2 linked regions of the Rhinolophus ferrumequinum genome follow. The protein of the gene in region 1 interacts with the protein of each later gene in a biochemical or structural test. Links are inferred from orthologs where the notes say so. Each region holds a gene or a part of one and is shown on either strand. Other genes may lie near its edges. The genes, in order: PDZD2 and CTNND2.

Region 1 (12,432 bases):
CGCAACCTCCAAGAAGGAAGAGGAAGGTGGGTGCTGCTTTAGGAAAGATCTATTAATCTGGAGGTAGGAAGTTAAAGGAGCTCCTATCTCATGACGTTTTTTATTTTGTCTGAGAATTAGAAAGCATGGTCATCTTCAGGTAAAAAGAAAGTAAGACAAGGACAAGACAAGAAGAGCCAGAAATTGGAGTATAGTGGAAAAGGTTTGAAATACTTATTTTGTGAGGAGGAGAGTGGGTTGACTGGAGAAATAATAACTGGACACCATTTAGAGCCAGTTGAGATGGGCAACCAGGAATTCAACATTTACCCAGGTATGTTTTTCTTTTTTTTCTATCAGTGCCTCAACTGACAGATATTGGCTCGGGGAAGGGCCAGTTTCACCATGGATTAGAGTTTTCCAGATAGGTACAACCAAGGCACAAGGCAGTTTAGATACGAAAGCGATGGAAATGATAGGCCATAAAATAAAAACATGGCGACCTGCACACCATTCCTGACCTGGAGTTGTCAGTTAATGTTTGTTGTGACCAAATGAACTCCACTTGAGAGAGGTGCAAGGGGAGCTATGTCTTCAGAGGAGGATGACAGTCAGAAGGAAGGAATGTTTAGAGAAAAGGTTGAGGAAATGGGGATGCTGGTTCACGGGTGGCGTGTGGGGTGGTGTGGAAGAAGAAACTGACTGGAGTGGAAACTTATGGGTCTGAGAGCACAGCAAATGGCAAATAACCAAAAGGGCTTACAGTGAGGATAGACCAATGGAAAAGTGAAGATGGTATTATCACTTACGTCTCCAGTGTCTCTTAGAAGCTGCTGAAGACAAGCCTACCAGAATTCAGTTGAGGTGTAAGAAATAGAAAGAGGATGTAGTAGTGCCAGGCCTGTCTCTGCTAATTGTCTGTGAAGTATTGACAGTTGTGCATAGAAGTATGTGTGTCGTCATCCATGAGGTGGGGGTCAGAGCAGGGAGTGCATCATGGGGTGTGGTTGTCCGAGCCCAGCTCGCCCCAGGTCACCCCTGTGATCACTGGCAAAGCCTAGACTGGCCTTCAACGGTTGTGCTATTAATCAGTATTGCTACACTTCCTCCTGATGTATCAGTGTGCAAACTTTTCAAGTATACTCTGCATTCTGTGTGTTCTGTCAGAGAACCAAGGCCAGGATTAGGATGAAGCAAGAGTAGTGTTTAGTGCACAAAATTAGGAAGGTCCTCACTCTCAGGGTTAGGTTCAACCCTGAATGAGCACACAGCCCTGCGAGTAAGAGCCCAAACTTGACATTTTGTACCTTAGGCACCTCTCTTACCTCACCTTGGTTCTGGCCCAGCAGCAAACTCTGATATGAAGTGGTATCTCGGGGACCATTCGCGATGATTTTAGAGAAAGGCTTACAATGAACAGTTTCAGGGGGAAAAAAATTCAGATTTGGAGTAGATTGTTCGTACTTGTTAGAAAACATATGCACACAGAGAGAAGCAAACTTTGGGAAACTCTGCTATACAATGCTCTACAATATGGCAAATCTGTGAACTTTTTTGATCTCTAAAAGCACTGTCTTGCAGATTCATGCTGGAGATACAATATTGATAAGCCCCACGACATTCTGACTGATGCTACGCATCTCAAAAGACTTTAATAAGAAAAACATCATTCTTTTAGGAGCATTTGGGATTGATCATACAGAATTAATTTATAAGTCTGCTGCCTTCGTTGAATATTTCTTCTACTCTGGCGTGAGACAGATATGTGCACATCCTTCAATGACAAGGTAACATAGATTCCCTTAGTCTTTGAAGTCAGTCTTTCTAACCCAGAGCCCATAGTCCTGAGATACAGCGTCTTGATTGGGAAAACCAGGCATTATGTATTATGCAATAGATAGAATTAGCATTTCCAAAATTATGGGCAGAAAGAGAGGCCAGCTGATCCTACAGGATCTTTCTCTACTGTTTTCCAAAGTATATTCTGCCTCCCCTCCAGAAACACTTCTGGGGGAGTCACCTAACCAAGTGGGCACATTGATTCCTAAGGAGTCTCCTTTGGCTCTAGAACTCTGAGATCTTGTCAACTTGTGTTGGCCTTCATTCTCAGGTGGTCTGAATGTCTAAGTTATAAAAGCAAATTATTTATAAACAATTTCGGTTATTTCCTTTGTTGATAAGTACACAATAAAGCAGAAAAGATGATTCCTTTCCCTGGATTCAGGAAAAAAAAATTAAGAAATAGAAAAAATGGGCATTTAAATATTCTTGAATAGTGTTCTATTAACCAGAACTGAGAAGAACCCCACAACTTAAATAAAGGCTAACAAAGAGCATGATCCTTGGGGATTTTTTTCAAGAAGCAGCCTTACGAGGAATCCACTCCAATGATCAATTAGAGAGAAGGAGGTTGCTACTAGCATTTGCTAATACCAAACAAAAATGTGATGTTTTTACATATTTTCCAAAAGAAAATGTGTTTTGAACCAAACTGGCTTTTCATGTCCACCGTGTCATTTCTTCACAGATTCTACTTTCTGTGGACTTCACTGACCTACTCTAGTTCTTGAACACAACAGAGATGAAAAATACACTTGTGATGTTTGGCCCACAAATTCAACCGTCATGCAAATCAGTTGTTAATGATGATTTATCAATTTCCCTATCAAACACCCTTGGTGATTCTTGCTGTACACTGAGATGAAGTGTAAATCATCTTATTCATGTACATTCTATGACAACCTGAAATCACTGTTCAAAGAGCTATTGCGTTCCTCTCCTTTCATTTGAAGAGACTTTTAAATTTTTTCAAAGTACTTTCACATCTGTGATCTTACCGGGGACTCAAGGTCCTAATGAGACCTTTAGAGGCAGGTGTTATTATCCCCATTTTAGAGAAGCTTGTCTGAGGTTGCTCCACCCTTTATTGTGTTAACTGTGATTGGCCACAGAACACAGCGCTGGCTCTTTGTTGTTTTTTTAGGCTGGGTATCATTACCTGAGTTTTATTTCTGTGTCCATTTTAGCTATACCCATAAAGACAGGTGCTAAGCTTAGCAAGAGACGAGGAGTGAAGATGTAAAGTTAGAAAAATAAAACAAAGAAAGCACTAGAGATAGACCAGCAATAGGTTTATTTTTATAATTGCTTTTTTTGAGATTATTAAATGAAGAGATCTGGAAGTAGAAGTATCTGATGAAGGAGTAAAAATAGCCCATGATTGACTTAGAACGATGCCTTTTCATAAGTAAACAGAGCAGAACAGAACAAGGAGAATAGTCAGCAGGGGAGATAGGAGTTAGGAATGAGAATGTGTTGTGCACAAAATGAGGAGTTAGGAAGTTTCTTACCAAAATAGTCTCCAAATTTAGAAGCACGATGATTGGACTGAATTGCAACAAGGTGGGAACAGGGAATTGGGGAGGACACCAGCTTCCCACCTTCTAGAGGGGAAATATCTTTGACAACTTTGCCAGTGTGATAAGAGTTCTAAGCCCCAAGAAGACCCTCATGTCCTGTCTCTTGTGTAAATTCAAAATAAGGACAATGACTGGCCAACTATAAAACAGCACCTATGTGCATTCGGAACTAAAATAGCTTCCCTTTAGATATGCTGATTGCAAAGTACTGGTTATGCTAATCAAAGCTGAACCGCTCTTTCTTTCTTTAGTAGCCTTTTTCTGGCATCTTAAGCAGGTTAGGTAATTCAGCACCGGACAGAATTATTGAATCATCACATAAATTGTGAAAGTAAGCAATATTTGGTCTGCACTTGCTAGTTATAATTCATTCTTTCTTGCAAAAATTATATAAAAAATTAGCCTGGAAACCAATGCTTTCATAATATAAAAAGAAGGCTAAGTCAAAGATATAAAATAATGAATGTTTTAGTCACCTAGAAAAATAGGAGAGATTGTATATTCTGTATGGGGGAACTCCCCACCTCCAGGAGAAAACCATAAGTTCTGCATGTGTGGTAATATTATACAACACTGACATCAACACAACACATTTGCATAAATTCCAATGTCATGCTCATGGATACACTGAAAAATCATCATTTTCAATATACATAAGATGAAAAGTACTTAAACCTTTCCCCTAAGCAAGTATTTTAAAACAGGATATATTAAGTGTAAGTCCATTACATGTATTAGCTAATAAAAAGATTTGGTCTGAGACAGAATAAATGTTACAAAATTTTCATCAAGGTTTAAAATAAAATCTATCACCACTATCACCAAATACCAGAGTGTGATATAACTGGGCTCCCTCTCATTTTAAAAGTCACTCTATTTCTGTGTTTCTACAGATATGCTCTGTGGGCCACCCAAGTCACAATCAATGGATTGCTGGTGAAAAATGCAGTATCAGAGCCCAGAGACAGACTAGCTCTGATGCCCACCAGGGGGAGGGCCAGGGAATCTGCATTTCCAAATCTCCTGGGGATCCTTAAACACGTGTGGGGTTAGGATCCACCAAACTAATGTTTTACTGTCACTGTTCCTTATTCGTTCTTTTTAAGCCCTTCTTTGGCCAGGGGATGGCTCATTCCAATATGAGTTCATGAATGGAAGTTTTCGCGGCCAGGAATGCGCAGAAGAAAGAAAGGAGAGTAATTAGCTGGATAAACAGGAAGCCAGCATCTGTTTTGGAGATTAAATGAAGGCACAGATCCCGGGAGGAGAAAGGGAATTGAGCCAGTTGTTGACTAAAGCGTCTCCCCCACCCACACCCGACCCCCACCCTCAACATATTTGAAAGAGCAGCTGAACAGAAAAGATGGAAAGCAATCTTTAAGATTTCATTTGAGTTGGCCATGAAACTTCCAATTTAGTTCCAGCTGCCTTGTGGATAGATTCTTCTCCATAGATGGGGAAAGCTCACAGGTAAACAGCAGTGCATGAGTCCAAGGCTCACATAATAAGTATGCTGCATTCATTTATCCATCACTGACATAGTGTCACCCAGGATAATACATGTTTTTTCTTAGTTCATTATTTTAATCTTCTATTGTCCCTAACTAAGCCTTAAATTGTCTATATCCAATATCTTTGTCCATATCATGTATTTATGAGCAATAAATTAAAATGGAAACTTGGATAAAAGTACTAACCTGTGACTAAATATTTAACAAGGGGGCAGAAAGAATTTACATTTTGATCTTCAAACACTGGAACATGAATGCCCTTAGTTGTGAGCTTTCCAAATTGGCAAGACTGCAAGGGCAAAACAAAATTTCCATACATTTGATTGACCCCTTGAGAGGTGAGCTATTATTAGCAGGCCAGAACTTGCCAAAAACTATCTGGAAAATATCAGATGAGAAGTGATTGAAATTAGAAGTACTTTAAAGCACAGCCATGTCCAAAGAAGACAGAAGAGAAAATAATATACAGAGGGTGCCAAAAATATGTATACACATTTTAAGAAAGGAAAAAACGGTTAAAATTGTAATACCCAATATATGCCAATAACAAAAGATGAATACAAGTTACGTTTGGCTTCTGCAATTACAAGAGGTGCTCAAAGTGGTTACCATCAGTGTCCAGACACTTCTGATTATGGCGAACTACTGCTTGAGCAACGTTGACCAAAGTGTCCACTTGTATACATGATTTTGGCACCCCCAGTACATACACACACACACACACACACACACACACACATATAATATTTATACATATATAACATATATGTATCTATATATTTAACAATTCATTTTAATTCAGCAAATATTTCTTGAGTGGCTAATGGGTTACCATGTTAAGTTTTGGGAACACAGATAATAATATCTAGGTTCTATTACCTCCAGGAGCTCACAAGCTGGAAATGTGTGAGAGGGAGCACTGATGCCTACAACCTAATACAACTTGACAAGGGGTAGCAACTTGTGTAAAGTGCTACTGTTGTAACAATTAATGGGAAAGAAGATAGCTGATGTTGGTGCCAGTGATCAGAGCTATCTTCCCAGAAAAGGTGACATCGGACTCTGGAATTTCAGCAGACACAGGAGGGTGAGAATGCCCTGCTGGCAGAGGGAACAGAATTTACAGGGGAGGAGTACATCGCTGGAATAGAGGGTTGAGGATGAGTTGGGTAAGAAATAGCAGTGCTTTATGGTTTGAGTGATCAATTTATTCACATATCCATTTATTCAGCAAACTCTCAGTGTGTGCTGAAGGAGGTGGGTGCTGGGTACAGAGGCTGAAGAGACCTGCACTGCTCTTCATGGCTCATGTGTTTGGGAGAGCGGTGGAGGATGGGACTGGGACTGTGAAAAAACAGAAACCACTAGTCCTGTTTGATTCTAGAAGGATCTTTTGTGGTGTCCCAGTGATACCTTTTTAGGTAAAAGTGCCATTTCATTGAGTACCTCCTGAGTGCTGTGCTGAGTCACTATGCTACTGCTCATCCTTACATCAATCCTGCATGGTAGGTATTTACAGATAGGAAGAGAAGCTCTGGGTGCCTGAGATGGCACAGCTTGCAATACATGCTTGGTGCATACACTGATCCCATGGGCCCGGTAATTATAAAAGCTGAAGGACAGCTGAATTCATGTACTTTCCCACCCCGACCTCTGCTGAAAATGCCATCTCGAAATGCCTTGGGACCAGCATGGCCTCTGATGCTGTGGGTCGGCTCTGCAGAGTCTGTGCAGGTGATTTATGCCTCTCTGCTCTTCCAAGAAAGAGATCGGAGCTATTGCCTTGCTGGGCAAAGCTGTAGCAGATCCTTGCCCCACCCCATCCCCCCAAAGCAAAGATTTCCAATTATTGCTCTGCAGAAAATGTCAAAAGCATTATTCAACTATTCATTATCCCAGGTTTTGTAATTTTTCATATGTTTTTACTCTTATCTGCTAGCACTTGAAAAAGACCAGCTTTTTCCTCTTAAGAGAGCTTAATTTGCAGAGCTGTGCAGTCTTCCTATTATGTTCTTATCATCCTCTCCCTGTGGTAGGCAGAATGACAAGGATGACAGGAAAAAAGAACAAAAATATTTGAAGGCCTTCCTGAAAATCCACGGGAATGAAGGACCCGAAAAGCCTGAGGTTTCTGTTCCTTGACTGACCTGGAACAAGGCCAAAGGCGATTGGCATTAGTTATCACAATCCACCCAGCAGAGGTTCTTGGCTAGTTCTCACAAGGACCAAAACCACCACCCTAGGGCCAGGAAACTTGGTCTCTGAAGATTTCTCCCAGGGCCTTAACCGGGGGATTAAGCAGCTCTGAGGTGCCAAGAGGGAACCCCGAAATTCTCATACCAGTGTTAAACATACTTTGGTATCCCAAGGACCAGAGGCCAAGAGTGGCTTAGAGTGGATGGTTAGACCTTCCCCATCTCCTTTGACCTCCGCCCCATTCTTATAAAGCAATTGACATTTTTCTCGATGCTTCGTAAAGTGCTACTGCAAAGGCAACTTCAAGTCCCCTAGCTCGCTCTCCTCCATCTAGATGGCGCCCAAAACTCCGCCATCTGGAAATTCTGAACTGCCATTTCACTGGATCCTTTCCTCCCAAGGTACTCCCAAGGTTTATGAAGCCAGCGCACTAGGACTTGGGGTTTATCCCGAGGGACGCTCAGCCCGCGCGGTGTGCCTTGTTCTGGGGGGGAATCCCCGCCCACCTTGTCATTCCTGCAGGGGAATCCCCGCCCCCTGTCCCTGTCACTCCAGGAAGGGAGTTCCCGCCCCTCGAATCTACCAGTGGGAGGGAATCCCCGCCCATCCTGGAGGCTCCGAGGATCCTCAGCACAGCACAGCTGGGAGAGCCGATCCAGGAGCGGACTCCCAGCGTCGGTGCGTCCCGGGCCCGGGCAGGGAGACGCGGTGTGGTGGCGACTGCGGGGGCTCGCTGGGCTCGGGCACCCGGGATTGCGCCTCCTGCGGCTGCGGGAGCACCACTGCGCTGCAGCTCCGAGCAGGCGCGGCGGCGGCACCGGCGGCAGCAGCAGCGGCGCCGGGTCTCGCCGGGCGGCGCCTGGGTCCGAACGCGCACGAAGCAGCAGGAGCCTCCGACCAGCCGCGCGCAGGTGAAACGATCGTCGGCTGCAGCCAGGATGTGGGGATTCGGATGGGGGTGGGGTGGGACCTCCGAGACCGCGTGCGCCGGGGAAAGTTTACTGACAAATCCGGGTGCGGGAATCCCAGCCGCGACAACGCGGTGATTGGGGGTGCCGAAGCTGTGTCCCACGTTTCGCGGCGCAAACTCCCCTCGTATCCTGCCGGGGGCGGGGAGGACGCGGCCGCGGGACGAGGGCCGGGCAGAGCCGGTCCGAGACACCGGGACAAACCGAGACGCACTGCAGGGCACACTTAGGATAGGGCCAGGAGCCCCTGCGCCCCGGCTCCCCATCCCTGGGCCATCGCCTTGTCTTCTCCTCCAGGGCGGAGGCACTCAGGTGCGCCGTCTTCAGGTACTGCCTTGGGATCCATCTCCCGCGCTTCCTCATCCCTCGCCCTCCCCTGCCTGGAGAAGAGACGTGCCGGGCAAGGGAGTGGAGGGGGCACGAAAAGAGCAAGGGCATCTTTGGGGGCGGCTACTGGCATCTGCCAGGGAGATGGAGAACGTGCCGATGGGGAAATCTTGCTCTCCCTCTTAAGTGGAGTTCCTCCCAAAACGTGGCTCGCTTTCTCTCCTCTCCTCTCTTCTCCTCCCCTCCCCTCCCCTCCGTCTCTCTTCCCCGCCCTCTCCGCTCTCCCTCCCTGGTTTGCATTGACATTTTAGGTCTTTGGGCTGCTTGTCTTCTCACAATGCTGAATTAAGTAAGGGGAGGGTCCGGGGCCCGTGGCTGGAGTTTTCCAGAAGTCTGTCCTCAGCAGCAGTCCTGATCTGTGCAGAGACCTTGATAAGGGGACACTGGAGTGTGAAGAGGACAAGGTCTGGCAGGGACTGGTCTCAGAGACTGACTGGAATGGCAGGCACGAGGGCATTCCAGAACTGCAGACCTGCACTGGGACTGGAGGTGGGGTGTTGGGGGCAGGAACGACTGGCATCTGTCTCTTGCAGCTGGCCGACCGCTTGCCTCCCACAGAGGTAGGGTGCCTTGAGGGATAATGATGGAGCTGCTGCAGGTAGTCACTGAATGGCTGCGAAAGTGGTACTCTGGATCTTCCTTTACAAAGAGCCCCCCTGGACTTTCAGTGCTGCTGGTCCTTCCTCAGTGGGGTTTCCCACACTCAGTCTGCCTTGGACTTGGGCTCTAGGGCCCTGGTGTTTCTACAGGGCCAGCTTTTCTGGTCTATGATTTTGGGTGGGGAGTCAAGTTGGTACAGGTACGGAAGTGTGGGGCCAGAACACGTAGAATGTCTCAGAACACACTTTTGGCTGTAGGTGGTTGTTCTAGCTTCATCAATTCCTTCTTCCATTAGAATGAGCCAAGAACTGCTGCTCCACCCATAACAACACGGTGGTGTGAGTGTGTGTATGATGGAGGGAGAGGGGGAGATGTAGGAGTAAGGGGAAGAGGTAGTAAGTGAGGGCAGGTGCTGGAAGAGGGAGAGTCAGAACCTTGTGAAGTGTATCGGATGCACCTGCCTTGTCATAGTTAATATGCTCCAGGGAAAATACTGAATTATACTTTAAATCTCTATCATTGAAATTGAGTTTGCATGCACTTAAGGCAGTTTACTATTTAAGGAAACTTATGATAATTTCTTTATTCATTTCAACCAATTTATTTTTGGAGTACCTGTAGTTGGCTGTGCACAGGGCCTTAGAGGTTCCTGGGGACACACATAGATACTGGAGGCTCCCTGCCTGCTGTCAGAGTTTCAACTATTAGGAGAGGGGAGGTAAGTATACTGAGAACTCCGATCAAAACCAGTGCCTGTGTGCCTAATAAGCACCCTATGTTCAGTGGATGAAGGAATGAAGGGGTGATCAAAGGAATGAAGGATGAATGAGTGAATAAAGCGACTAAAGATAGTCCCAATAAAACATTTTAGGAGTAGCGGGAGAAAGAATCATTTTGGAACGAGGGGATAGGAAAGGCTTGTGAAGGAGAACCTTGGTAGGACAGGTGCGTGCTGCAAGGTGATCCTAAGGTGGGATGTGGCCCTTGGGTGGGTGATGGGAGAAGAGGCTAAGAACTTGGAGGAACTTAGTTCTGCAGATGGCAGGGAACTATTTGAAATTTTTGAGCAAGGGACTGTCACGATCAGCTATGTGCTTTAGGGAGATTAATCTGATCTCTTGCAGAAAGAATTGGGATTTGGGAGAGATGAGAGTTGAGGAGCCTACTGAGAAGGTTATTGTAATAAACTGGAGGATGGAGGTCTGAGCTGGTGGGTGGCAGTCGGCTAGGAAGAAAAGAATGAACTTGAAGTATGGGCACTGTTTGGATTTGGAGTGAAGAAGAAACAAAGACCACCTGCAGGTTAGGCGTGTGAAGACACAGTTAACTGAAATAGGGAGCTTGGAGTTTTAACATTCAGTAAACGAGAAACCTAGAGAAAGCCTCTCAGACTTCTCACTCCTCCCATGTGTAATCATATCTAATCAGTCATCAAGGTCTAAGGACTGCTTCTCCTTGTAAGACCTATCAGTGGTCCCCAGGGACCTCCTGTGGGATAAATTCCAAATCCTTTGTGCCTCCTCAAACTTCTTTCCTGCTGTGTCCCCCAACACACACACACTCACACACACACTCACACCACCTTCCTGGTTCATTGTACTCTAGGGTGTTGTCCCAACCCTGACTTAGAAGTTCCAGGCCTGGTGGGCTGGACAAGATAACACAGAGCTGTGGGTGCTCCCTTGGCCTGGATCACGTGGGCCTAAGTGACTCAGCCCATGGTGGGAAGGGGGTTGTCTCTGTTGGGAGAGGCCCCCAGGTTCCTCTTACTACACCAACCACATGGGGAAGCATTCCAAAGAAGACAAATCAACAAAAGGTCAGGGCCAAACTCAAAGAGGCTGAATCTCTTTAATAGGGCAGATGTGAAGACTTGAGAGACTTTAACCTCTTCTGCCCTCAAGTGTTTCCTGCCCTCAGGTGTATCCACAGGACCAAGGAGAATGCTAGGCGGGGAGACAGGTGACCAGGTGCTGGCAGTCATTTCCGAGAAGGGCCAGCCTCCCAAGAGGATGATGGGAAAATGCCACTGACGGAAACTGAGAGCCTTGTCTGCAAAGGATGGTCGTGGAAGCCGGTTACAAGGGATGAAGGAGAGAGTGGTGCCAAGACAGTGCGAGTGGGGGGTGTAGACACTGGATCCAGAAGCGTGCCAATTAAAAATAATCAGAGAGCAGTTGGAGGAGATGGTAGCATTGTAGGAAGGTTTATTCAGGAGAGTTCCTCAAATCCCCCTCCCAGGCATGTGTGGTAAACAAAAGAGAAGTGGAAAAAGTAGGAGAGACAAGATAAGGAGAATTTGGGAGGGAAGAGGCCACAACAGGTGCAGGAGAAGAAAAGCTGGCATCTGCCTTTGCTGGAAGATAGGAGGAAAGCAGAGGTTGGGTGAGGCGCTGGAGGGAGCCTGCAATGCAGGGAAGAATGGGTCTTGGTAAACAGGAGGGGTGCCCACTGAGATTCGGAGGGCACTGCATGAGGCTGGGGGTTTTGTGGGGAAGGTGGAAATGCTGCTGCCAGCCTGGGGAGGTGAACCTGGCACCTGGCTCCCGCTGAGGCAACCAGGAGGAAAAGGAAGGATTCCAGAATTAGGGTCAGAGACTTGGGCTGCAATCCTAGCCGTGCAGAAAACTTCTTATTGGCCAGATCATTCAAAGTTTTGGAGCCTCAGTTTCCTCATATACAAAATTGGTATAACAGTTACCTCACAGAGTTGTCCTTAGGAGGAATAAAAAGGAGATGCTGAGGTGTGTATGCAAACCCCTTCATGACAGTGTCTGGTACGTAGTGGGTGCTTCTCATAGTGTGCTGAGAAATGAATAAGCCTCTTGCCAAAGGCAGTGAGAGCCCAGAGGCAGGACTTTTTAGTGGACACGGCTGAAGCTTTCTTTCAGCTTTAGATGAAGAGCTCTGGACTGCTCAGAGCAGTCTCACCTCCCTGTTCCCCTTTAAGGAATCTTTCAGGATGTCTGCCTTTTTATCTGTTGGCTTGTTTCAGTGGATACATCTGCATTTCACTTCTCTCTCTTATTCAAAGGTCAAGTTGTCAGGGCTCACAGCTAAGAGATCCTGCCTAGTTTCCCCTCTCCGCTGTGCTTTGGAGGGGTGTGATGCATTCACATTTGCTAATTCCTGCACTTGAGGAAGCTGAGGTCCAGAAAAGCAGAGAACTTGACTCATTCCAGTACAACTGGAACTAAAAGCGCAATCTACAGTTGCTTGATCTGGGGATCTGTTGTCTTTTTATGGCGATTATACAAGATGCAGGTGGGTGAGGAAAAATTAAAAATCTGTGTATCCCATTGGTTTTATTAACGGGTCTGTGATTAAACTTAGGGAGATTAAATAAATATTCTTAACTATTAGTGAAGACAG
Region 2 (12,477 bases), about 13 Mb from region 1:
ATCATGCAATGTAACAAATAAGGAAGACACTTTCTGGTCTGGATGCTATACATTTTTAAATTCCTAAAAATTCAGCGAAAGCAATAAACACAACCAGTTTACAGAATGAAGATCAGTGTCAACTTTCCTCATTAGTCTGCAAGATACCATTATCTGCACATGGAAGAAATTCAGTTAATGTTTATTAGGAAAAAATGAATATGAAAAGTATTCATGGACAAGGTGGCATTGCCTCAGTTTTGATGATTCAATAAGATACGTGCAGTCTGATAAGTGAGTGTGCTTTGGTAGCAGGGCTAAACCAGCAGAAGTAAAGGGGCATTTTAATGCCATCACTAATATTAGCCATCATTTATTAGTTGGTCACTGTGTGCCAGACATTGTACCATTTGTTTTCCATAAATTGATTCATTCACTTAATTCTCACAGCAATATAAGAGACAAGATGTTGTTTATTTTAGACGTAATAAAATGGGAGCTTCGAGGATTTTAATGGGAAAATTGATTTCAGATTGGGCACTGTTTACAACCTTGAGAATAACGCTGGAATGGGCAGAAAACATGAGGGAGACCAGTAATGGAAAAATGAGTTCTTCATTTTGGGAAACAGTTTAAAAATCAGAGAGGGATGTAGGGTGGACTCATTCTGTGAGACTTTGAACATGATTTCATTTCCTGGTTAGTACAAAAATCTCATGTCACTGAGTTATCTTCTAGTATATGTGATTTCAGGCCATATTCATGTACTCACTTCATTGAATTAAAAAAATAATAATAATTCATAGAAAACATATTGCAAAGGAAAGACAAGTGACACAGCTGTAGAAAGCAGAGGAGAGAAATTACAGAACATATATATCAGAGATTACATTTGGCTGCACATAACAGAAACCAGCTACTATGACTTAACCACATAAAAGTTAATACTGCTCCCGTAAGAAGAAGCTCAGGGAGCAGAAGTCCCAAGCTGGCACAGTGGTTCCAGGGAAATTTCAGAATCTTGAGCTTCTTCTATCTTAAGCTCAGACACCTTTGTTCTATGGCTCTCATTTGATTGACAATCACAGTTGCAATGCGGCAGGTCCTAGTCCAGCGTGTAGTCTGCATTCAGTCTATAAAAAAAAGGAATAAGCAGCATGGGGAGCTCCCCTTTCACACAAACTGCACTGTGAACACTCATCAGACTCTCATGTTTGTGTTACTGACTGATAATATGTAGCAGCAAGAGAGGCAGGGAAGTGTGGTCTTATAGGTGGTCACATGCTGCTCTGAACAAAATTTGGGTTCTGTGCAAAAGGAAGATGGGGAGGCAGCCAGCAGTGATTTGGGCTTAAATAGAATGTTTTGGCTTCATCAGAACAGTGCACTGAAAAAGTAGAGAATACGTGAATCTAAAAGGCCAAATCAAAGTTCTAAAGCAAGATACCAGGATAAGATGGTGATATGGACAAGTATTTAGGATTAGGGGAAGAAGCCAAATCTCAGGCTATAAGATTGAGGAAAAATCAACATTGATTTTTAAATTCTTTCTATGCATGCAGGCCAATTTTGAGGCCTGCATATATGATAAATCAATTATTATTTTTACAGACTACTTGGTTCTAAAAGATCAGTGGTGGGGTCTTTTAGACTCTTTAGTGAATACAGCTTGCCTTCCTGGAGCTACAATATACATGAATATAGATGCTATTAATTTTTTTAATGAATAATGTAGGTATTTCATTCTCAAACCTGTTGGAACCCAAGGCCCCATTTCTACAACAAATACTATGAAATGCTCACTTTGCTATCCTGGAAAGAAATTCACAGACATTAACTTATTTTTAAGGACCTATGCAATATCTCAACATAAATATAAAGAAGAAATAAGAGGAGAGACACTTAAAATAGTGTGTCTTTCTTTCTGTAAACACTTGGTCACAACGAGGCGAGATGATCTCACCAAATTCTCAGACACTTTCCCCTATACGTCACATCACCCCAAGGTTGTGGCTATAAAAACAGACTGACCCAGGTTTGTGTTCTTTTGATGGGTTGTGTATCACTGGTGATGTTACTCTTAATCTTACGAGCAAAACCTTGGTCAATTTCTGAACAATGTTAAATCCTTACGTGGTTTATATCTTAGTGGCATTCCTGCAAAATTCAATGTATATGAAAACTGCAAAAATGCTTCTTGCTTATATGTAAAATGGAGTAATGTTGTGTGCTTAAATACTTGTGAATAGGTTCTCAACACCCATGGGATTGGTGGAACCCTGGAAAGTCATGAAGGATACAGGTAATTCCTCCTGTGGGATCGTCCCATATACTGCGCAATGTTTCGAACGTGTGGCTTGTGGCCAGTAAATCCTAGGGGCCATAAGAAAATACCTTCTCCCACATTTCTAAAATACTTCTTGGGGAGGAAGTAATGCTTCCCCTAAGAACCATGGACCTAGATGTTTGGTGTAGAAACTGAAATTTGCTTGATGAAATTTTTATACTAAATCAACTCTGCTTTAAAATTTAACTAGAAAATCTGGATGAACCTTGATGAAAACTCTCTTATTTCAGTCTTTGGATCTCATCTGATGCAGTTGCTCCTTCCTATTCTTGTCTGTAGACATCAAGCCAGTCAATTTGGGGGATCAGTTCCTTCATCTCTAGAAGCCCATTAAATCTATAAGCACTGCTGATCAATCAGAGCATAGAGTTTATTTCTCCTCCAGCCAATGCCAGTTATTAAGATTCTGCGCCAAGCTTTCCACTTCATTATTTGATGTCTTCTTTATATGTATATGTAATTTGTCAACGCCTGGCGACCGAGACTTCTGACCCACTGTCCGATTCTGATCAATGATGCCGCAACTTCTCTATGCCTGAGCAGCCTACAGGGAAGTTAGACGTTTTAGTATCAGATTGTGACTTTTGATTCATGCTGGGGGCCGTCACTAGACACCCCACTACTCTCTGATTCCTCCATTGAGTCCACTCCTGGTTCCACTGCATCTCCAAGAACCTCACCCATTACCGAACACACTTTCTGTATCCCTCTCCTTGCTTTGCTTCAGCACTTTCGGTCCTATTTCTTCCCCATGCTCCCTATGTCCTGGCATACACCAAAAGACTTTGAAGAGGCAAAAACAATAAGAAAACGTGGAAGGGAAGGGCTTAAATAAAAGAATCATCAGCATCCTACAGCACATAGACGGTTAGAAAGAAATGAGGGAAACTGAGTGTGGTGACCTCTTCGGTGTACTCCCTTTTGTTCCATCACCCAAGAACCTCAGTTTATAATTAAACTTATAATTACTTATAATTACTTATGAGAATAGGGATTTTTGTCTTCTTGTCTATTGCTCACTATTGAGTTTCCAAATTTTGCCTGGTGTCTGAACCACAGTAGAAGAAGCTCAATGAGCATTTGTTGGTGAATGAATGAATAAATAAATGAACGATACCATCATTTGAGTAGCAGCTACAGTAAAAGCTAGTTTGTGTGAAAGTGTGAAGTTTTGAATCCAATAGTGAAATGACCCACACATTGATCTTAACTAAAATGGTTAATTCAAATTATTTTACTATTTCAAAAGTCTTTAAATAGAGAGTAACATTTTCCAGTAACACCTGCATATAGTTTATAAATAGTAACAGTGTTTAATCCTCCCCAAATATATACATTTATAGTTATTATGACACTACTGAGTTACCATTTGAGAGACTTTGATTTAAAATTTAAAATGTAAAATTTAAAAGAGTGTGATTACTTTCCTTGTTTAAGTGCAGGACAGCAACAAGAACCACTGATATATTTTAATTTCCCAACTTGAGAAATTCCCATTTGTTTATCAATGGGTAATTCACTTTAAACATTACATGAATATGATCTTCCATTTGAACCTCAAGAGTAAGATACAGTGCTATATTTAAATTAGGTAAAACCAGGGTGTCACTCTCCTAAAATTGGCATATTTTGAACTATAAAATATGATACATGGATTTATGAAAATATTTTTAATTATTAGGATTTATTTCTAAAATTAAATAAAACTTCCATGTAAAAATGTATTTGCTTCAGATTTTGAAAAGTGATTTGAAAACACAAGAGCTACAAGACTCAGTATGTTAGATGTGCTTTCTGTATCTCAGAACTCTATTGATACATAAACAGAAGAAACTATAAAGTTTCTTCATTTAGTGTTGCTGAAATTTGAAAATATCAAGCTATTACTTTTCTGGTCTCCTAGTGAACTGGGGAATTCAGAATATTTCCTTATACAGAAACTATCAGAAGCAGGAGGCAAAAGATGGCAGCAGTGAGTCGTTCCAAGAGCTAATGCCACACATGGTCTTTTAACTGTGTTTTTCAATATTATCTAATTGTGCATTTAATAATAGTATCTTAAGTTACAAATTATTTTAGAAGAATAGGCATCACAAATGTCCCACTGAAATCAGGCACACAGCAAATTAAATCAAAGTAGTCCAGCGCGTCACTGGTTTCCTTAAATACCCACCTTACCCACCCTCTAAAGGAGTCTGTAGGGACTGCCTATGGGGCATTTCCAAGGATTACAATTAGAAAATAGGGTTTGCCATTGCTCATCTCAAAAATAACTCTAAGAAAACTTTAGAAAAGTATTTCTTAATGTAGATCTATATAGGCATAAAACGTATTTATTTTCTGTGGATAGTATCTATGTACCTATTTAAAATTTAATCCAAAATGTAACTGACCTCCCCTCAACTCTCCCTACCCCCACGTCCCCATGACTTGAGTTAAAAGATGCAAAGAGGAGTACAGGTAAAAAAACAATCTGAGCACAGCTAAGGTAGGAACAGAGACAATCCTTTAAAATGTGACGTGGCCTAATGGATATAGTGCTGCTAATTGGTCTTGTACCAAGTACTCCACAGTAATTGAACTGCTTTTCTGACAACTAAAATAAAAAGTATAGTTCAACATGTGCTGGAAAAAAAAATGGTCCTGCAGTGTCCTTCCTCAATATGGAATCAGCTTCAAACTTGGAGCTAGGCTGGGGGAGGAGAAAAGACTGAGCATTTGCACGGCTGTCAAAGTCCTTGCATAACCCGCAGTTCCTTGCTTTTATTTCTACCCATCTAACCTAAAACTTTTCTCCTTTGTTCTTTCTTCGAAGTTTATTTTAACTTACTCCGAAGTATAATAAAGAATAGCTCTGGACAAATACTCAAGTCGTTTGACTTTGTTGGATAATGTTTTCTGACACAAGAGAAGCACTTTAGTGCTGACTCTCAGCCCCCAAATCCCAGTGATTATAACTTCCCGGATTCTGTCACGCCTATCTGGGTCTCAGAAACCAGCTCTGGGGAGGGGTGGCGCGCTCAGCCTGCCCATGTCTTGTAAATGCAGGAGGGGTGAGCCCCACCATGACTTCCGAAACAGGTACATATATGAATCAAGGCCCAGAAATGTTTCATGGCATGGGTCTTGTTTTGTAACAAGACATCCACCGTTCACTACAGTGATTCTACTCGTTGTATTTCACAGCAAGAGAGGCATAGAGTCGTCCCGATGGAGTCGATGAGCTGTCAGACCATGGGGTGATAGAAAAACAAAATCTGCAGGCTGGATAAGACGGCTACAGGGGAGGAACAGGTAACAGTTGCCATTTTAGCCTGGGAGAGGGGAAAGCGGAGGAGAAAGAGAAGGTGGTGGCAGAGGAGCAGAAGAAGAAAGAAAGAGGAAGAACAAGGAGGAGGGGAACTTATTATTGCAGTGTATTCCAGTTCCAGACCGGACAAGGGTCTTTCTTGCAGGAAATTTACATCCATTCCAGATTCAAAACCAGAGGGAATTTGCTTAAGGGGAAAGTCTGTCCATCCTCGAAAAACATGTTTGATCTAAGCACTGGAGGTGACTGTGAAATTGGACGTGCGCTGTGGGGAAGCCCACGGATGGATGCCCTACCTTCTTTGCTCTAGAACCACAGGACTCGAGAACATCCACCTCCCCCTAGCAGCATGCACAGTTAGCCTGCCCCCTCCTTGGCCCCGACGCACACAGAAGCCATTCTAGAACCCCCTCGGCCCTGGCCCCTTTGTTTGCAGGCTGACAGCTGCCCCACCACAATTAACTGTCTGCATCATGCACGTGAATGAGGGAACCGGCCTTTTGAGAACCGCTCAACGCGGGGTTCCAGGCCTTCCTCGGTCTCTTCCAGCTCTCTCCTGGCTCCCGAGCATCCACCCATCTCAGGGCCAGGGTGTGCGTTCCCAAGGATGCTCGGCCCTCTCCCAACCCGCAGCCTCCTCCCCTCTCTCCTGCTGCTGCTGCTGCTGCTGCTGCTGCTGCCGCGAAAACCAGGAGAAGTGGAATGCGCACGGCGAGGCGCCGCGCTCTCGCGGCGGCACTGGGCATGCTCGGCGCCCAGGGCAGCTTTGGGCGGCGGGGCGGACGCTTCCTCACTCGCCGGGCGCCCGAGCCGGCCGCCGAGGCTTAGGTGGAGGCTGAGGCTGCCGCACGCCGCGGGAGGAGCTTCGCCCTCGGCAGCGGCACAGGTGGCGCGGGCCGCGCGCGGGGCGCAGCTCGGGAGCGCTCGGCGCCGGGCGCCGCGGCGGCCCCAGGCTCGCGCCCGCGGCGGCAGGCGGCCGAGCGGAGCGGCGGGCGAGGCGGCGGAGCCGGGAGGAGCCCGGAGGAGCCCCGAGTCCGCGGAGCCCGCGGAGCCGAGCAGGGGGCGCTGCGCTCGCCGCGATCGGAGGGGCCGCCGGGCCGGGCGCCGCGCTCTCGCGTCGGGAGCCGCCTCTCCCCCGCGGCGCTCGCCCCTGCGCCCCGCCAGCATCACTTGTCCCGCGGCCGCGCTCAGACAACAAAAGCGGAAGATGCCGCACTTGGGCAAGGTCAGGACCTTGCCCTGAAGCCGGGCGGCGGCGCGCACGCCTTTTCCCGGACCGAGGAGCTGTCGCTGGTGGCGGGTGCATGTTCGCGAGGAAGCAATCGGGCGCCGCGCCGTTCGGTAAGTTGCCTGCGCTGGCTGTCGGGGCCGGGCGCATCCTCCTCCTCGCCGCCGGTGGGGGTTGGTCCTCGGCTGCCAGCCGGCTGGCGGCGGCGCCTGCTGCAAGGTCCAGCCAGCCCGGGGAGGACCGCGATCGCGCCCACTCTCCTCTCGGAAGACGGTCTGACCGAATGCGGGCCGGGGTTAGTACCTTTCTTGGAGCGGTTACCAAGTGGCTTCTCGGCGTGCTCCCCCTCCCCGCCACCCGTCACCCCCGGAGGAGGCGTATATAGGGCAACACCAACAATACTGCTCCCCGCCACCCTCAAGAACATACTCGTTGCGTTTATGACGCCCCTTCATATACAGGAGAAGACGGGGTGGGGGTGGGGAGGACTTCCCTCCAGTCTTTTGCCCTTATGTTCAATGTCATTACGATGTTTGGCTAGAACAAAATGGAAATACTTAGTCATATGCGTCCATGGCCATTGCTTCAGGCTCCCGCTGCTTGCCAGACCCTGAGCCCCTTTGGTCTATATTTAGCGGTTTCCGAGCAAGCATTTTCAGCTCAATTCACAGGTATCGGGGGCTTCTGCGTCCTGACAATAGACTGCGAGGCTCTGGGAAGCGCCTCCTGAATTCCAGGTTTGGAAAGCTGTGAATCTGGACGGGAGATGCGATGCGATGTTCGGATGATCGCTAATTAATGGCCGAAAGGAAAGCTGCTTTGCTTTTTTGCCGACCTTCCTCTTCTTCTGGTGTGTAATGTGTTTCCATCGATTCCTACTCAGCTGATTGGAGCCACTACGTTCCGAATTAAGTCGTTAGAGAGGTGGTGCAGCCTTCCTGGTCTGTGTGGTAGGAAAACAGTCCTAGGGATTGTTGAGGTGTGTGTGTGTGTGTGTGTGTGTGTCCCACAAAGAACAGTTACTTCCAAAACGCCTAAAGTTGTGGTTCGCTGTCAATGTGAGGGCAGTGAAGGGTGTGGAAAAAAAGAGAAAAAGGGGGGCAGGTTGTGGTTCCAGGGTGGTTCCCCCCACCTTGTGTGCTTCAGTTGAATTGATCGGATGTGCTTTGGCCCTGAAAGGTGTTAACATGCATGCCTAATGTCATCAAGTGAATATGTTGGTTTAGAAAAGGGATACATCGTAACCATGGTATTTGGCCTGACAGGTATAGATTTTCACTTTTAGCAACTATGTGACAGATTTAAAACGCTGGGAATTTTCTGCAAGGACTTCCATTGAAACAGGGAGGTGCTGAAACCCCCTGAGTCACCTCATCGTGTGCCCCCACATCAGTAGCTTAGGCTGCTCATGGGAGTTCAGTTCATCTTTTTGCTGTTAGTAATTCACCTACCAGATTGAAAGGCTTGGAGCTGTACCACTTCTAATAAATAAATGTACCACTTCTAATAAAATCCCATGAAGTCTTTGATATGACTCATATCAAATTACAGGGATGAAACCGCATGATTCTGGGGGCTCGGTCTGTGAGGAGTATGACAGAGACGGGCGGGCAGCCTCAAATCTGAACTAGAGTCTTTAAACTGCTTTAAAACCGCTTTACTACATGCAGAATCCATTTGCACTGTTTTGGGGAAAAATGTTCAGCGGCATCCTTATTGGTCTGCGCGTTTCCAGATCTCTGGGCTTGAAGGAAGAGGACATTTGGAGTCAGATGTTGAAATTTGGGGGCCTGTAATTATACAGCTAACAAGTCTCAGCATTGCAGAAAGACCAGGAGGGTTTCTGCAGCTCCAGCTAACTGAAGAGTGGGATGAGTTCTACCTGTATTGCTTTTGTTTCACCTTATTCTCATTCAGAGAACTTTCCAAGAGCACTTTGAACCCACTATCATGCTTATTGCGTTGTTTTAATGTAAAATTTCTTTGGAAAACAAGCAACATGTGAAGTAGATGTTCATTTCTCTTTCCACTTTTCCTTTTGCGTGTGCTGTTTCGGTTTTAAACATGATTCTGAAAGGGCTACTAGATATTGTTCTGTGCCTATGAGTGCAGGTGGAGAGCAGCTGAGAGGCACGGGAAAAACTACATGTACTGTATATGTGAATTTTATGTCATGCTGTGGACTGAAAATGATAGCACCTGATTGAATGGCAATTTTAATAAGTACATGAGGTTGTGGCTCTAATGAAATTGTCAGTCTTGTGGAAGGGGTCATTTAATTTGGTGTATGTTTACCTAGTTGTGTAACCTAATCACTCTAGATATCACTAATATTTTCATTGTAATAAAAGTCATGCACTGTCAAATTACAGCATTTCCATCAATTTCACATCTTTCACAATAGAATACAGGGCAATTCTTTCTCCCAGTAAAATGGTTCATCAGAGAGAGAAAATGAAATTCAAGTGATACTAGTCGGAAAATGCAATTTATGGTTTTCTTAAATAATTTCTAAGGATGGTATCACTTTCATAATGATCTTTAAAATTCAAAATGAAGTTATACAATTCTCAGATACAACATTACTTTTGACATATAATTGAATATGCAGTGCTCTTCCTGACAATGTTACGGAACCTATTACTTATTACCAAAGTTCTCTTTTATATGGTGTGCATTGATGTGGAATTGGTGAAGTTCTCCAGAGTAATCTCATCAGAGTTTTCATCAGGTTGTCCTTATGTAAGAAAACATCAAAGTTACATTTGAAATAATTTGTTGTAATTTGTCCATGAAGTCTGGTATACTTTGTATGGGCCAATATATCTGGTTGTAACAAGACAATTGAACTAAAATAGGAACTGTTGCTTCAAGTTCTTTTTTCTTTTTCTCATGATTATCAACAGGAGCTAGGAACACCCCTTTATGGTGGCTTCTCTGTGTGAATGTTGTTTTCACTTCTTTAGTGGGAAATTGTCGATGTTCGGTTAGTATCGCTTTTCCTAAAAGTTTCAATAAGATTTTCATTTTGAAAAGATGCCACCTAGTTCAGAGTACTTAAACTTGAGGACCGCAATTCAGAGGGTGGACAAATACCAAAAGAAAACGGGCAGATATTTTAAAATTCAGTTCTTCTGTGGAAGATTTGGTACCATGGGTCTTTGCTGGCTGATTTACAAGTCAGAAATACACTTTCAATTCCAAATTCCTCAGTTGGTTTCCATAATGGTTTTCATTATCCATATTCCAGAGGTGTCCTCAGGGCCACAGTTCTTTGATGGCTTTGTGATAAGTGTTATGTGGATGTGGGTGAAAAATTAATTTGAGTGTGAATAGTTCATGATACTTGTTGCTGGCTTCAAGTTTATCTGATTTTATGCCAAAGCAACAGCTTTTTATATTAATGTAAAATATTAAACATGTCATAGATAAATAGTTTCTATCACATTGTCTGCCAATCTAGACTACTGATTAAATAAACTGCCTGGTTGGGTTTAATGAATCCAATTATATTCAGAAACAGTACCTCCAACACAGGAAACTCACGGAAGTATTTTATCATACTGTGCCTTTAGTCCATGAAAAATGTTAAGACTCATAACAAAAATGTGCAGTTATGACACCTCCAGTTGTTTATCTTTTGATCACATAGCAGCTAAGTGTAATTTCAAGCTCCATATCATGGTTAATTGATTTGTAGGAAATGTCTTAGCTGTATTAGAATATTGAAGTTATACTCTGTATCAATTAGTTTTTGACAAATTGGGAATAATGGCTAAATAAGTGAAACAATGCTTCCCAGAAGCTTTCCATCTTAGACAAATAGTCACCTGTATCCTTTGGTGAGACTCCTGAAAAGTTATCTGTAAAAGGAATTATGTATATTGAAACTTATTCCATTAGTTGTTGTCACTCAGGGACTCATGCAGGGTCTCAGCTCCTGCTCCCCACATAAGAACGCAGGACATGGTGAGGCCAAAAAGGAACACCCACGGAGCCATTGATAGGGGAGTCAGACCACTGTATTCTCCCTGGCGCTGGTGGCTGGGTTGGAGACACAGGAAGCAGGAGCCACACTATCCGCAAGCTGCCGTCCACTTGTCTCTGCCACCCAACCTCACTTGCTAGCTGCAATCCGCCCTGCTAACTGCAATCCGCTCTTGCTAGCTCAGCCACCATCTTCTTGCTAGCCCCCATTTTGCTATTAGCGTAGCCACGGCAGTTATATTAGTGGCCAATGGCTCACTGGTTACAGCTGACGGCCAGTTAGCCACAGCTGATGGCCATCCAATCACAGTTGATGGCCATTTACTACCTGAGCCAGCACCTTTCCACTTGAGGGCGAGAAACTGCCCTGGAAACTGCACTCCCGGCTCTGTCCCCACAATTGTCATTTCAGATCACAAATATATTTCTAGAGAAAAAGTTGATTTTTGCCCTACAATGAATAAATTAATATATGAGAATACACACACACACACACACACACACATACATACACACAGAGGATGAAAAAAAATGTATACACATTTTAAGAAAGGATAGCTGTATTAAAATTATAATACTCAATATATACCAATAACAAAAGATGAATACAAGTCACATTTGACTTCTGCAATTACAAGAGGTGCTCAAAGTGGTTACTATCAATGTCCATACACTTCTGATTATGGTGAACTACTGCTTGAGCAACTTTGACAAAAGTGTCCGCTTGTATGCATTTTTGGCACCCCTGGTTTTTTTTTGCGTGTGTATGTGTATATGGATATTGTGGAGACAGAGCCAGGAGTGCAGTGTCCAGGCTCTCAGCCTCATGTGGAAAGGTACTGACTCAGGTAGTAAATGGCCATCAACTGTGATTGGATGGCCATCAGCTGTGGCTAGTTGGCCGTCAGCTGTAACCAGTGAGCCATTGGCAACTAATATAACTGCCGTGGCTACGCTAGCAGGAAATGGGGGCTAGCAAAAGGATGGTGGCTGAGCGAGCAGGAGCAGGTTGCAGTTAGCACGACGGAGTGTGGTGGAATGTGGATTGTGGATTCTGTGGCTCCTGCCTCCGGTGTCTCCAACCCAGCCGCCAGCGAGAATATAGAGATATGACTCCCCTACCTATGGCTCCGTGGGTGTTCCTTTTTGGCCTCACCATATCCTGCGTTCTTATGTAGGGAGCAGGAGCTAAGACCCCGCAGACCACTCTGCATGACAGATATACATTCTAGTTTAATGCTTTTTTTGGATTCTGTTTCAGATAGGTGCCGAGAGGTGGAGAGAGTACTCGTTTTGGGTGGATCCTAGCTCTGTCTCCTCTTAGCTTAGTTCTTGGCCGTTTCTGTGATTTTCAGATTTTAGCTTAGTGTTTTCAGCTGTAAAATGGGTATGACAAGAAAGAATACCTCAAAAGATTGGTTTCAGGAAAGAATATCTCAAAAGATTGGTTTCAGAATAAAGTACTTGAACGCGTAAGTACATAAATGACTTGTAAATTGTAAATTTTTGTAGAAACACAAGAGATATATCTACATATTAAGATGGATACTATGCTCCCTTTATTTATCATAAAAATATGTATATAGGCCACTGCCCTCTGACAAATGGATTTATTCTCACCTTACC

What was found.
Region 2: the proteins of PDZD2 (region 1) and CTNND2 form a complex in vitro, tested with the Homo sapiens proteins (2 studies listed by BioGRID and IntAct, with this or other methods). The link is inferred for Rhinolophus ferrumequinum from reciprocal best matches to the Homo sapiens genes PDZD2 and CTNND2.

What each region holds. Positions count from the first base shown.
Region 1 is NC_046290.1:20,809,860-20,822,291, forward strand, and holds the start of PDZD2 (PDZ domain-containing protein 2), read left to right. Parts: upstream 1-7,753; 5' UTR 7,754-8,016; intron 8,017-12,432.
Region 2 is NC_046290.1:7,808,859-7,821,335, reverse strand, and holds the start of CTNND2 (catenin delta-2), read left to right. Parts: upstream 1-6,707; 5' UTR 6,708-6,940; coding exon 6,941-6,977; intron 6,978-12,477. UniProt on the Homo sapiens protein: Has a critical role in neuronal development, particularly in the formation and/or maintenance of dendritic spines and synapses. Involved in the regulation of Wnt signaling.